2 linked regions of the Schizosaccharomyces pombe genome follow. The protein of the gene in region 2 purifies or fractionates together with the protein of the main gene of each other region. This does not show direct contact. Each region holds a gene or a part of one and is shown on either strand. Other genes may lie near its edges. The genes, in order: ric1 and rgp1.

What was found.
Region 1: the proteins of rgp1 (region 2) and ric1 purify together in Schizosaccharomyces pombe (affinity purification with western blotting; one study listed by BioGRID). This does not show direct contact.

Annotation. Positions count from the first base shown.
Region 1 is NC_003424.3:4,502,750-4,508,940, reverse strand, and holds ric1 (Rab-specific(Ryh1/Ypt6) Ric1-Rgp1 guanyl-nucleotide exchange factor subunit Ric1/Sat4), read left to right. Parts: upstream 1-2,059; 5' UTR 2,060-2,099; coding exon 2,100-5,258; 3' UTR 5,259-5,455; downstream 5,456-6,191. Other genes in the region: grp1 (GRIP domain-containing protein), read left to right, coding at 1-1,343; CK2 family regulatory subunit Ckb1, read right to left, coding at 5,554-5,946, 6,152-6,191. UniProt on the Schizosaccharomyces pombe protein: Probable component of a guanine nucleotide exchange factor (GEF) that may be required for efficient fusion of endosome-derived vesicles with the Golgi.
Region 2 is NC_003423.3:3,854,037-3,860,629, reverse strand, and holds rgp1 (protein sat1), read right to left. Parts: upstream 4,412-6,593; 5' UTR 4,277-4,411; coding exon 3,934-4,276; exon of another isoform or gene 3,644-3,933; coding exon 2,334-3,643; 3' UTR 614-2,333; downstream 1-613. Other genes in the region: DNA replication factor C complex subunit Rfc1, read left to right, coding at 4,688-4,759, 4,828-4,946, 4,995-5,054, 5,115-6,593.

The sequences.
Region 1 (6,191 bases), on a different chromosome or scaffold from region 2:
CATTATTGAACTGGCCGAAATATGTGTTTCATCACCATAAAATACACCTAGCAGATACCATTCCTTTGGTTTTTTTGGATTTGAAACCGAAAGAGTATACCGTAGATTTAGAAACGCCAAAGCTTGTTGAAGAACTTACTAAGCAGTTACATGTTGCCGAAAGTACTTTAAAGGAAAACTCGGAAAAATTTAAGCAGAACTCTGAAAGTTTGAAGTCTAGAGTTGATAACTTAAACGATTATATTACAAAGTTGCAAAACGAAATTGACGAATGCAGAAGAAATTTACTGTGGGCAGAATCGTCATGTGAAACAATACGAGAAGAAAATCAAAAGAATATTAAAAAACTGAACGATGCTGAATCACTCAAAAGTAGGTTACTTCAATCCCGAACGCAGATGCAGACAGAACTTGATTCTTACATCACATCTAATAGTCAGCTTAAAGACGAAATTACTTCTTTGAAACAAACAGTCTCCGAGAGTGAAGCAGAACGGAAAAGACTATTCTCCAGTGCACAGGAAAAGCAACTTCAAATGAAAGAGACGGTAAATAAACTTACCTCATTACAAGAACAAAACAATGAGTTCGACCGTCAACTGAAAGAACAGGAGGAAGATTTGCAAAACAAAGAGGAAGAACTGACTGAACTTCGTAAATTACTCCGTGAACAAACGCAGGATAGTCAGAAATTACGTTTATTAGTTGAGCAATTGGAATTGGAACGTCAAGATTTGAAGCAGGCTGGTGAAAACCATTACTCGAACCTATCTTCTGATTACGAAACTCAGATTAAAAGCTTAGAATCCAGTCTGACTAACTCCCAAGCTGAATGCGTTAGTTTCCAGGAGAAAATTAATGAACTAAATTCTCAAATAGATGAACTGAAACTTAAGTTGAATGAAGCTAATAAAAAGTATCAGGAGCTGGCCATTTCTTTTGAAAACTCCAACGTGAAAACTCAATCAGTTGAGCCCGATAACGGTTTATCGTTGGAGGCCCTGAAGAATGAAAATCAAACACTTCTCAAGAATTTGGAAGATTCGACAGCACGATACGAACACCTGCAAAAGTCATTCAAAAATGTGTTCAATCAACTACGTAAGCAACAACCTTCTAACCATGGGAGAAACAGTTCTGTAAGCCGCTCTTCTTCGTCAGTGGAAGTTAATTCTAAGCATCCTGGCTCGGATGACATGCTAATAGATAAGGAATACACACGCAACATTCTTTTCCAATTTCTCGAACAGAGGGATCGTCGGCCTGAAATTGTGAACTTGCTGTCGATTTTGTTAGATTTGTCTGAAGAACAAAAGCAAAAGCTTTTGTCTGTGAAATATTAATGTGGTAAAATTTTCATTCCGTTTTACTGCTTTTTTCTCTTTCTTTGTATTATTCATCATATTGTTAATGTCCATTACGATGTGGAACATTTGTTTGATTTTGTATGCCGCTTTCCATTCTTGGCAGTGATTTCACGCGATAATATCTTTTGGAAGGGTATGCTATTATAATGTTAATAACGGTCTTTTGCATAGAACCCACGAATTCAAATACGTTTTTTTTTTTTGCGAATAATTAATTAAACCAATCAAGTTCTTTGTCTTGTTTTTGAAATCTTGAACCGAGCTTAGGTCTATTCGATTTATAATTAACTTTTTTCAAACCTCTCATTTAGGGAAATGAATAGGAAATCATGTACCAATGAATGAATTGAAGCCTTATTGTAATTTTATAGCTGATGGCTAATCTATTGTACAATTTGACAATACTTTCGTTAACAAAGCAGAGCATAATTTGCCATTCCTAAAGTAAAAATGGACTAGAAGCTTTTTCCTAGATTACTGCATTCGTTTGACATCTAGTAAATAAAATATCAGCTCCATTATACAATAATATAAGTATCCTTCAATTGATATGCAAGTTGCAAATTAACAAATTGCGAAATTATTATTTAACGAATTAAGTTGTTCCTTTTGTTGCACTTTTTAACGAAAATGGTGGTAGAACATCAGCGTCAACTGTTGATCCTTACGTTCTCAAAGGGTTCAGCATCCTTGGAAATGGTTAAACTCCTTGTCGAATAAGGTGAACTATTCATGTACTTCCTTCATGGAACACCTCAGAGAATACAATTGTCCTCCAGAGCAATACAAATATGTCGAATCCCTAAAGTGTCGTTCTTCGTTGTTTTGACTGAAACCGAGATTTTAATATATCAAATTCGACCCTTGACACTCATATCAAAGATAACAAAGTCTCAGAACTTATTTGAACGTCATGGAAAGAACAAAAAAATAGCTGTTAACTCTGAATACGGAATTATAGCGGTTGCAACTGAAAAGAACTATGTAGCTGTCTATCATTTCACTTTAAATGCTTCCAAGCCTGTACTAACGCCAAGTCCTTATTTAACTCGATACGATGATGGACCTGGCGAAATATTTGGGCCTATAAAGTGTGAAATCCAATACAAGCTTGCTATGCGATATGGAGGTGGGCTTAAATGCCTGGAGATTCAAAGGGACTCCATCGTTTATGCTGCAGATTCTGCACCAATTATTCAGGTTTCAACGCTGGAAACAACTGACCCTAATAAGTTGTGGAAAGTGTCAAGTAAACAGTACGATTTACGAGAAGTCACTTGGTTTCTGGATCATTCTTCTCTCATATCTCGACTCTATTTCGATGTTAAAATCGACACTTTCTTTTGGATGTCAACTGATGGAAGAGTTTATGCCAATATCGGTGTTTCTTCCAACACGAATACGAAAAGTCTGTTTGGCCTTTGCGTACATAACCCTGTAGATTTGAATAAGTCAGATAATGACAAGGACATTAATGAGGACCTGGAATCCAAGCTTAGAGAAAAGAAGGCGACTGTTTTATCTACAAATGCCAGATTTTCTCTTTTATATGTTGGTACCGCCGATGGAACTGTGTATGCTTATGAAATACGAGATTTCGGTCGCCAATATGTTCAAACTCATTCTTTTAAATATTCGGCAAGCTCCGGAAAGGTTAATCATATTGCTACGACAGGTGATGGCCATCAAGTTATGGTTGGATACGATGACGGTTGGGCTACACTGTCTCCTTATCTCAACTTGTGTTGTGCTAGTAGTGAAACTGAATATTTTAATTTTGGGTTATCCTGTGGCTTTTGGGATAGAGATAGTTCTTCCTTTTATGGACTAGGATCTAAAAATTTTTCTTCTACAGGTGAAGCTGAGGGAACGGGATTATCTACTCCGATTATCGCCGAATCCTTAAAAGAAAACGACGAGTTTTTTGCTATGGAAAAAGAGAACGTTGATATCCAGTATTTGTCACAAAACGACAATACAAATGATGTCTTATATAGTATTACGGATTCTAAACAATTTATTAGCACTATTTATATTTTACCTTTTTTAAAGAGCACCATAGTTTCAAGTGTACAAAGCACCTTGCAAGTTTGTGGAGCTCAAACTAGCGATCGGTTATATATTTCGAAGTCATATGAATTTTGTTCTAGCGTTAAAAACAATTTTGGCATTGACTTTTGGGATCAAGTTGAGTATCCTCAACCATATGTTGCTTCTGAATGGCCTATTAGATATGTTTCTATCAAAGATGATGGAAGTTTGATAGCAATCGCTGGGCTTCATGGATTAGCTATATATGTTTGCTCAAAAAAGACCTGGTTCTTATATAAAGATGCCAATATGGAACAATTAATCAGTGTTACTTGTCCAATGATTTGGTGCTCACAATTTTTGCTAGCCGGTGTTGTTTGCGAGTCCAACTTTGAGCTACACCTATACAAAGCAAAAGGGCCTTTAGACGATAGAGAAAACTTGGCTAAATTATCGTTTACTTCAACAATTGTGACAATGTCAGTCTGCGACGAATATTCTTTGGTTGTCTATACAGCTGATAATTTCCTCCATCACATCAGATTCGATATAAACGAATTAGGAAGATTAGAACTCGACTATTTAACATCCGTAAATTTTGCTCCAATATTCACTACTCCATCCAGAGTTCGAAGCATAACGTTATTACTACCAAAAGACCTTGCAAATATTCAACCTTCTGATTTACTTTTTTATGCAGTCCTTCTGGTTCTCATTAATGGAAAACTTGTTTTGTTAAGTCTAAAAAAACAACATTCTAAAGAGCTTTTATATCAGTGCAGCATGCTAGCGGGAGACGTTGAGTTTTACTTTATCAATGGAAGTCAAGAAATCCCTTCATTATTTCATTCTATATGGATCATGACGGGAAAGGGACTTAAGCTATGGTTATCTTTTAGCGAGATCCTTTCCTCTGTTTTGATAAATACTAAAAACCTTATAGATGGCCTTCCAAAGTTTCTCAATACATCAAAAAGAGTATCTCTAGAAAATTTTCATCGTTTATCTGTTGAAGACCTCAGATCGCCCAGCTTTGTCTACAAAAATGGGGTTGATTGTAACTTTGATAACACACATCTTGCTAAATTGATTAAAAATGTAAATATTTCTGAAAAGTTTCAAAAGGAATGTATAGATCTGGAATCTCAGGGATGTTTGCTGACTGTATTAAGCAATTATGGACTTCTATTAACTGCTTATACCCAGGGTCATAAAAACTTAGTTAATAAGATGGAATACGCTCATATCCAAATAGGTGTTTATCCATTCCTTCCGGAAATTGTTCGAGCACTATTACTGTTAGATAAACGTGAGCAAGCTATTGACTTAGTCAAGACATATGGGCACTTGCATTATATCAATTTTGTGTTAGAAAAATTACTTTCTTCATCATTATTGACCTACAACTCATCACAGCGAGATAAATTGCTTTATGAAGTATCCTTATTATTTAAAGACTTGCAAGAGTTTACCACTTTTAAAATCGTTCTGGGTTGCCTGCGAAAAACTGAAGCTGAATACTGGCCGATGATATTTAAGTATTTCGGAGAACCAAAAGACTTAATGAAAAAGTGTTTAGAAACAGAAGATGTTAAAAGTGCCGCAGAGTGTTTGATAATATGGCAGATCCATCAGGGTTCAGCCAGTTGTGCTTCTACCTTTCTAAGTATATACGAAATGGCTTTAAAAATAAAAAACTGGGACGTTTGTACGGAGTTATCTAGCTACCTGGTGAGTCTGGATCCCGAAAAACGTTTACTGAAGACAGCGCTGGAACTTCTCGATGAAGGGCCTGATTCCAAGGACATTCGTCTTTACGATCAATTTAACAATTTGATGAAAGAAGTGGATAAATATTAACCACAGTATATGTCATGATCAAAACTAAATTATTAAAGCAATTATCAAAGTAAAAAAAGAGGTTCAAAGCTGAATAAGCATAAAAGGTTTTAGCTTCAATGATGATTAGAAGTTTGAAAATTACGCTCTTAGATAAAAGGAGCTGATGCTTCGGGAAAAATCTAAAAACGTAAAAGTTCATTCTAGTAAAAACTGTCATAGCTATAATGTAAATAAAATTTTTTGCCTTGGTGATTATGGGACTTCGAAGAATCGGGTGAACTTCTATTGTTAATGAAGATTAAGCAAAATGCCTTTAAGTTATTGCCAGTTTATTTTTTGATTCAGCTTCGGCTCCCTGTAAACGCTTTTTTTGCTTTTCTTTGTATACATCTTGTTTTTTAAAGGTAGCAGAATAGCTATGTACTTTGAAACCAAAAATACGTGGAATGTAGCGTTCTTGAGATTTAGGGACCGCAAGTTCAGGGTATACCTGAAAAAGCATGTGAGGGAATGAGGTTCCAAAATATGCACCATCAATGGATGCATGTCTTTGTGATTTTGGTGTGTACACATCCTCACACCGAGGACAGTATAATTTAACGGATTTTGTATGGGCAATATCCGACAAGCCGACGGGCAACATTGGCTGTCCGTTGCATAAAACTCTAGGGCAATGCCCAAAGTCACATTTTTTGTATTTCTCAAGCTAGAAAGGATGTTAGTCAAAATCCAAAGCTAATTAAAACGAAATAGTACGGTATGACATAAATGTAATAAAATTGAAGAATTGAAAGATAAGTCAAGTTACACACTTAGTGTCCATTATACTTGTCTAATGCCTGTTTTGTTCACGAAGATTGTATCCAAACTTAAAAACAGGAAACTAGAAGTTTACAAACATAATTGCTTACCATTTTATATAAACCCTGAGCCGTTAAGATATAACGGGCG
Region 2 (6,593 bases):
TCTTACGGCCACCATGACTCTTTACTAGTCCCCCTTACTCTTCATTTTACTCCTACTACTCCCCAAATTCATACACACTTTCATTCGTCCCTACTTGATTCTCCAAGTATCACCCGATCGCTGTATGCTCGCTCCTACTGCGACGAGAAGAAAATTGCATCTCTTTTGTCCGTCGATCCCATTCTCGATTTGCACACGTACGCACATATGATAAGGCATCGTTGCAGGTGACGTTGTAATGTCTGCCGCTTCCATCAGCACGATTTTTAGTCCATAGCATCCCTGTCCCTTTGTTGAGCGCTGCACATAAAGGAAAAAGAAAAACCGAATGAAATTTGATTTAATGTAACATACATGCTTTACTAATAAACGAAGAAAAGAGTCGATAATGTCAAGGGGAAATCTAAAAGAAAAGAAAATACTATACTATACTATACTATACTAGACTATACTTTACTTTACTAAACTATACTATTATAATGAAAAGGATCCTCAAGATTCATTCTTATACGGATGTATGTTGTTTCGATGTTTATAAATAGGAATTGGATGTTTAGTTGGCGAGTTATTTAGATGTTTAATGATAGTTATTTGTATTATTTAAATTATTTGTATTGTTAATATTATTTAAATTATTAGTATTATTTGTATTTGCATCTATTTATATGTTTAATGATAGTTATTTGCATCTATTCATACAACTATTTCAATCATTCAACAGGAATAAAACCATTTCCTTTTTATTCTATCCCTCTTTCTTCTTCTAATCTTCCTTTTCATTCTTTCTTTACTCTCTCTCCCTACTCAACTCTTCCCATATCTAGCGTTCCTCCTACCTCCAGCGTTTCTCCCAAGTCTAGCGTTTCTCTTATGTCTAGCCTCTTTTATATGTTTCGCTACCATCTATTTAGTGAAGTGCGCAAGAATTTGTTCTTTTCTTCTTTCTTTCTTTCTTTCTCTGATCCTCCTCCTTGTGCTCTTTCGTCCTTCTTGCAACGTGCTATTTTTCCCTACAAGAACCTCCCACTGCCCAAGGCCCATCAACAATCTAACATGACGCGATTGATAGGAGAATGACTTTTAGGTCTCGAAAGCCAAACCTTACCTCTTCGGAAGATGCGCGTAGAAAAACGCACCGTTTCCATATCACCAAATAGGAGAAAACACTATCGCGCCTTATTCACTCATTCCAAAAAAGTGTCGTCATCGTCAATGAGGGCCGCTGTCATCGACAAATAAGAGGTCAGTCATCTTTCAAGGCCAATTTGGTCAAACTGACTCGACTGGTGCCGCAAGATGAAAAAAAAAAACACCGATGTCCATTAGAGCCCATGTGGGGCAGTGCCCCCTTGAGAAAACTGACTTCACCCCTACCCTGAAAAATGACGTAGTATCAGGGCGTTCCGAAACGGATATCGAGTCAATTTCCTTGGCATTGACGGTATGGACAAAATGGCAATTTTAAGAAAAGTCGTACCAAAACCATCTGATCTTCCCAATCACCAATGATCTCAATTTCACGTCACCTCTCACTGCACGGCGGTAAAGGAAGGAACGGGGAGGTTTTTTCCGAGATTGGCTCACTTGCTCACATTGGCAAGATTGGCTTCGAGAATAGCATAACCCAGTATAACACACTTAAAATAGAAATAGCATTGTGTAACGAAGAAAGCCAAGGCTGCGTTAAGACAGGGTTAGGCCAAGTCAGGTCAGACAAGGAAGGGGGGATACACATACAACATACCTTTTCCATTCCTTGCTTGCTGGCTTACTACTTCCATTGCAAAAACTGCTACTACTGCATAAAACGTCACTTGTCTGCTAATAATGCATACAAAGTTACCGAGAGATTGGAAATTTGATATTGTATGATAGATTGCATTCGTGACACTCAGTGTCCGAACCCCTAAATGCATAGAATGAAATGACATGATTGATATCAAGCATCAGCGCAAAAAAACACGCACCAGAGCCAGCGCTACAAGAAAGCATCGTTAGGGAGCCAGGGGAGCCTAAAGTACCCAAAAGGAGAATTGCGAAATCAAGGGAATTGTCGTTATCTTAAAACTAAGCGACACTTTCAATCATCCATCGTTCTTTCGTTCTTTCTCTCTCACAAACAATCGTTATATCCTTTTTTCGTGGCTTCCCACTTTACTGCACAATGAGGGGAGTACGAGAGAGAGCACGGTGCGGTAATGGATTGAATTTTCAAAATGGAAAGCAAAAGCGAAATCATCCATTCTCGCAGACGTTAGCAAGGTTGGAGTATGAGCTGGTTAAAATTTTTTGAGACTTGATTTGATCAACGATCGGATTACTCAATTGTTTGGCTAAACCGGTTGCATCCCCTCCATCCCTCCTTCCATTCCATCTTCCATCCACACAACTCGCTTTTCAATTCGAATCGGCAAAACACATTGAATCGTCTCTGCCGCAAACGTTGTCGGTGCATGCTGGATTTGCATCTCTCGCGAATTCGTTAGCGATGCCATTCGCTTGTGCTGACCGCTCTCCCTCCCTCCTTTCTTCTCTTCCTCCTTGCTTACCTCTTCGCTCAATCTACCTTCACTCACCCTCTGTACTTCTTCACTGTATCTCGATCGACTCGGACTCTGCACCTCTTCACTATATCGGGGATGCGCCGGTCCCTGCATCTCACGTTTCTTGTTCACCGCCCTTAACAATTCCACCCGCAAAAAGTGTTCCACTCCAAATTGCTGTGTTTCAAATGTTTCCGGACATTCCTCCGGCACAACCATCGAAGCGCTCATGTTTTCCAACTCAAACACTCCCCGTGTAATTCTACACCACACTTTTCGCGTCGCCCTCTCCGTCCCTACGCTGTTGCGTATACGGATGTCTGGCACAATACGCTCCACACTTTCAAGTTGCATATGCACTTGTCGAACCATCGCGTCCAGTCCTTCTAGCTCAATCATCATCATCTCTCCTGTCCGATATCTGCTTTTGCTCAAAAGCAATCGACATAACACTTTTTGTTTGCTTGTAATCTCAAACCTCGTGGCCATTGGTTGCTTGGATTCGAGTTTTTTTAACAACGCAATTTTTTCTTCATCCTCTTCCTCTAATACTTCTTCATTGATCTCTGACCTCATTCCATGATCTTGGAATTCTCCTCCTCCCTCTTCATTAGACTCTCCATCAAGTAGCTTTTTTATGTGTTGCTCGTATTTCTTTTTTTGCTTCTCTTCCTCCTGCGCATCCTGCGAAAGTCGTATACCGTTTTTACCGAATTGCCTACGTGCTTTCTCTGCTGAAACCTCTTCAATTTCTGCCGCATCTGTTTCAATAATCGGTTTGGATAAATCTGCAAACAGCTTCGAGGATTGTCTGTTTCCCGAATTCTTTCCGAGTGGCAGTTCAGGTTGCTGTTGAACGTTGGGTACTATAGTAATTTCAAATTCATGCTCTACACAAGCATTGTTGGTAGCTGATTGGACTCCTATGACCAGTGCGTGTTGAAATCGAAAGGCCAATCCTTTATATGTAGGTGCTGTTCGAAGGGGAATTCTTCGCTTCAACCGAAAGCATTTTTCCTCTCCAGGAGAAAGCGTGATATCGACTCCTAATATATCTGGACGAGTCAGTAGCACTGGAATGGCATTTTCCTGCTTTTGTTCTTTATCGGTTAGTATTCATGCTTAAGCAGTAGGTTGCAGTAAAAATAAGAGTAACCATCTTCCAAAAAAAAAAAAAAAAAAAAAAAAAATTGAATAAAGAGTAAATATGTTTCAAATGAATTACAAAACTCTTCCCAGACAACCTTTCTGTAATTCGTCAATTGACTTTATGTCCACCTCACCGTATAAGCACTCTTCCGAGCTATATCTTCCCTCCAAATGTAAGCCAATTGAGAGATTTTTTTTACCAAGTCTTTATTTCCTTTTGCACCCTTTCACCATTACATACCTGAGGCCTCTGTCAATGTACTTGCTTGTTTAACTCCAAATAAATTTCCAATCATCCCGTTCAGAGTATTAATAACAGAATAACTGCTGGATACCTTGGGAATATGTACTAATCCGCTCATTGTCCTTTTGTTTAAGAGCCCCTGCCTCTGAACCTCATCGAATTCTGTAACGCGCACCAGTACATAGTCAAGGTACATTTCACCATGGATAGAAGCATAGCACAAAAGTAAATTTACATCTTCTGAACTCCTTAGATTCGTGAATTTTACAATGCACTCAAAGTCAGTTCCGGATTGAACTACATTCACTGGCATGTACATTTGCACATCACATTCTGTCATTGTCGAACACCACTAAACTCTTATATTCGATAATTTCTCAAGCCGCTGGCTTCAGCTTTACCTTAATAATAACCATACAACTTGGATTTCTTCATTCGTATTGACGAACGTTTATTAGTCTCGTAACAAATGCACAATCAAAATAGTACTGTAAAAGAGCCCACTTTTCTTCCTCCACGACTCATTTTACGAGATTAAATAACGAACGCCCACAATCAATTTTTTACACTCTCCTTACTATTCCTTAATTTACTCATTTACGAATGTTTTAACGAAGCTTTGTTAACTCTCTGCTTTTGGCAAATTGTCACATTCCTTGCTATTGTCGCCCAATATACATACATACACTGCTTTTTTGGAAGTTAGACAGTAGCTTCTCAGGAATTGGGTAATTGTTATTCATCGTCGGAAATGAGTAATTCTGACATTCGAAGCTTCTTTGGAGGAGGGAACGCTCAAAAAAAGCCAAAAGTCTCACCGACTGTATGTTTGTTTCTTCAATCAGTCAAATTTGATAAGCTAGTCATTCATTTTCTAACGTCTTTGTCTAGCCTACTTCCCCAAAACCAAAAAGGAGTTTGAAGAAAAAAAGAATCGTTTTATCAGATGATGAAGATGGTACAATAGAGAATTCAAAAGTTCCTGCATCCAAAAGCAAAGTGCAAAAACGGTTCGTTTAATTCGGGTTATCAGTTTATATTTCTAACCCTCCAACTAGTAATGAGTCGGAAGATATTTCCCATTCTTTGCCATCCATTGTTCATGAAGACGATAAACTGTATGTTTATTTTACTTTTACCTCATTATGCGTTGTTCGCTAATTTGAATTTTTGTTTAGTGTCGGTTCAGATGGAGTTTCAACTACACCTGATGAGTACTTTGAACAACAGTCTACTCGGTCACGTTCTAAACCGCGGATTATCTCCAATAAAGAAACTACTACTTCCAAAGATGTCGTACATCCTGTAAAAACAGAAAATTTTGCCAATGACTTGGATACCACTTCAGACAGTAAGCCAGTTGTCCATCAAACTAGAGCTACACGTAAACCTGCTCAACCTAAAGCAGAAAAATCGACAACTTCAAAGTCAAAATCTCATACCACAACTGCGACAACTCACACAAGTCGTTCTAGCAAGTCGAAAGGCTTACCTAGGTTCTCAGACGAAGTTTCCCAAGCCCTCAAAAATGTTCCTTTAATTGACGTAGACTCTATGGGTGTGATGGCTCCAGGTACTTTCTATGAACGGGCGGCTACAACACAAACTCCAGGCTCAAAACCCGTCCCTGAAGGCAATAGCGATTGTCTCTCGGGAATTAGCTTTGTTATTACAGGAATTCTAGAGACTTTAACTAGACAAGAGGCTACAGACCTGATCAAACAATATGGTGGAAAAGTGACAGGTGCACCTTCTGTTAGAACAGACTTTATTCTCTTAGGTGAGAATGCTGGTCCAAGAAAAGTGGAAACAATTAAACAACACAAGATTCCTGCTATTAACGAGGATGGACTCTTCTATCTTATAACTCATCTTCCTGCTTCAGGAGGAACGGGTGCTGCGGCTCAGGCTGCTCAACAGAAAAAGGAACAAGAAGAAAAGAAAATCCTTGAAACTGTTGCGAGAATGGACGATAGTAATAAAAAGGAATCACAACCTTCACAGATATGGACTTCAAAATATGCGCCAACTTCTTTAAAGGATATTTGTGGTAATAAGGGTGTCGTTCAAAAACTTCAAAAGTGGCTACAGGATTACCACAAAAACAGGAAGTCCAACTTTAATAAACCTGGACCTGATGGTCTGGGTCTATACAAAGCCGTATTACTCTCTGGTCCTCCAGGTATTGGCAAGACGACTGCTGCTCATTTGGTAGCAAAATTAGAAGGTTACGATGTTTTGGAACTGAACGCTAGTGACACTAGAAGCAAGCGCTTGCTAGATGAGCAGCTGTTCGGTGTGACAGATAGTCAATCACTTGCCGGCTACTTTGGCACAAAAGCTAACCCCGTTGACATGGCAAAGTCCCGACTTGTACTCATTATGGACGAAATCGATGGCATGTCATCGGGTGATCGTGGAGGCGTTGGTCAGTTGAATATGATTATTAAAAAAAGCATGATACCAATTATTTGTATTTGCAATGACCGTGCTCATCCAAAGCTGCGGCCCCTTGACCGTACTACGTTTGACCTCCGTTTCCGTCGGCCAGATGCTAATTCAATGCGATCCCGAATAATGTCTATAGCGTATCGTGAAGGTCTCAAATTGTCACCACAAGCAGTCGATCAACTGGTTCAGGGGACGCAGTCCGATAT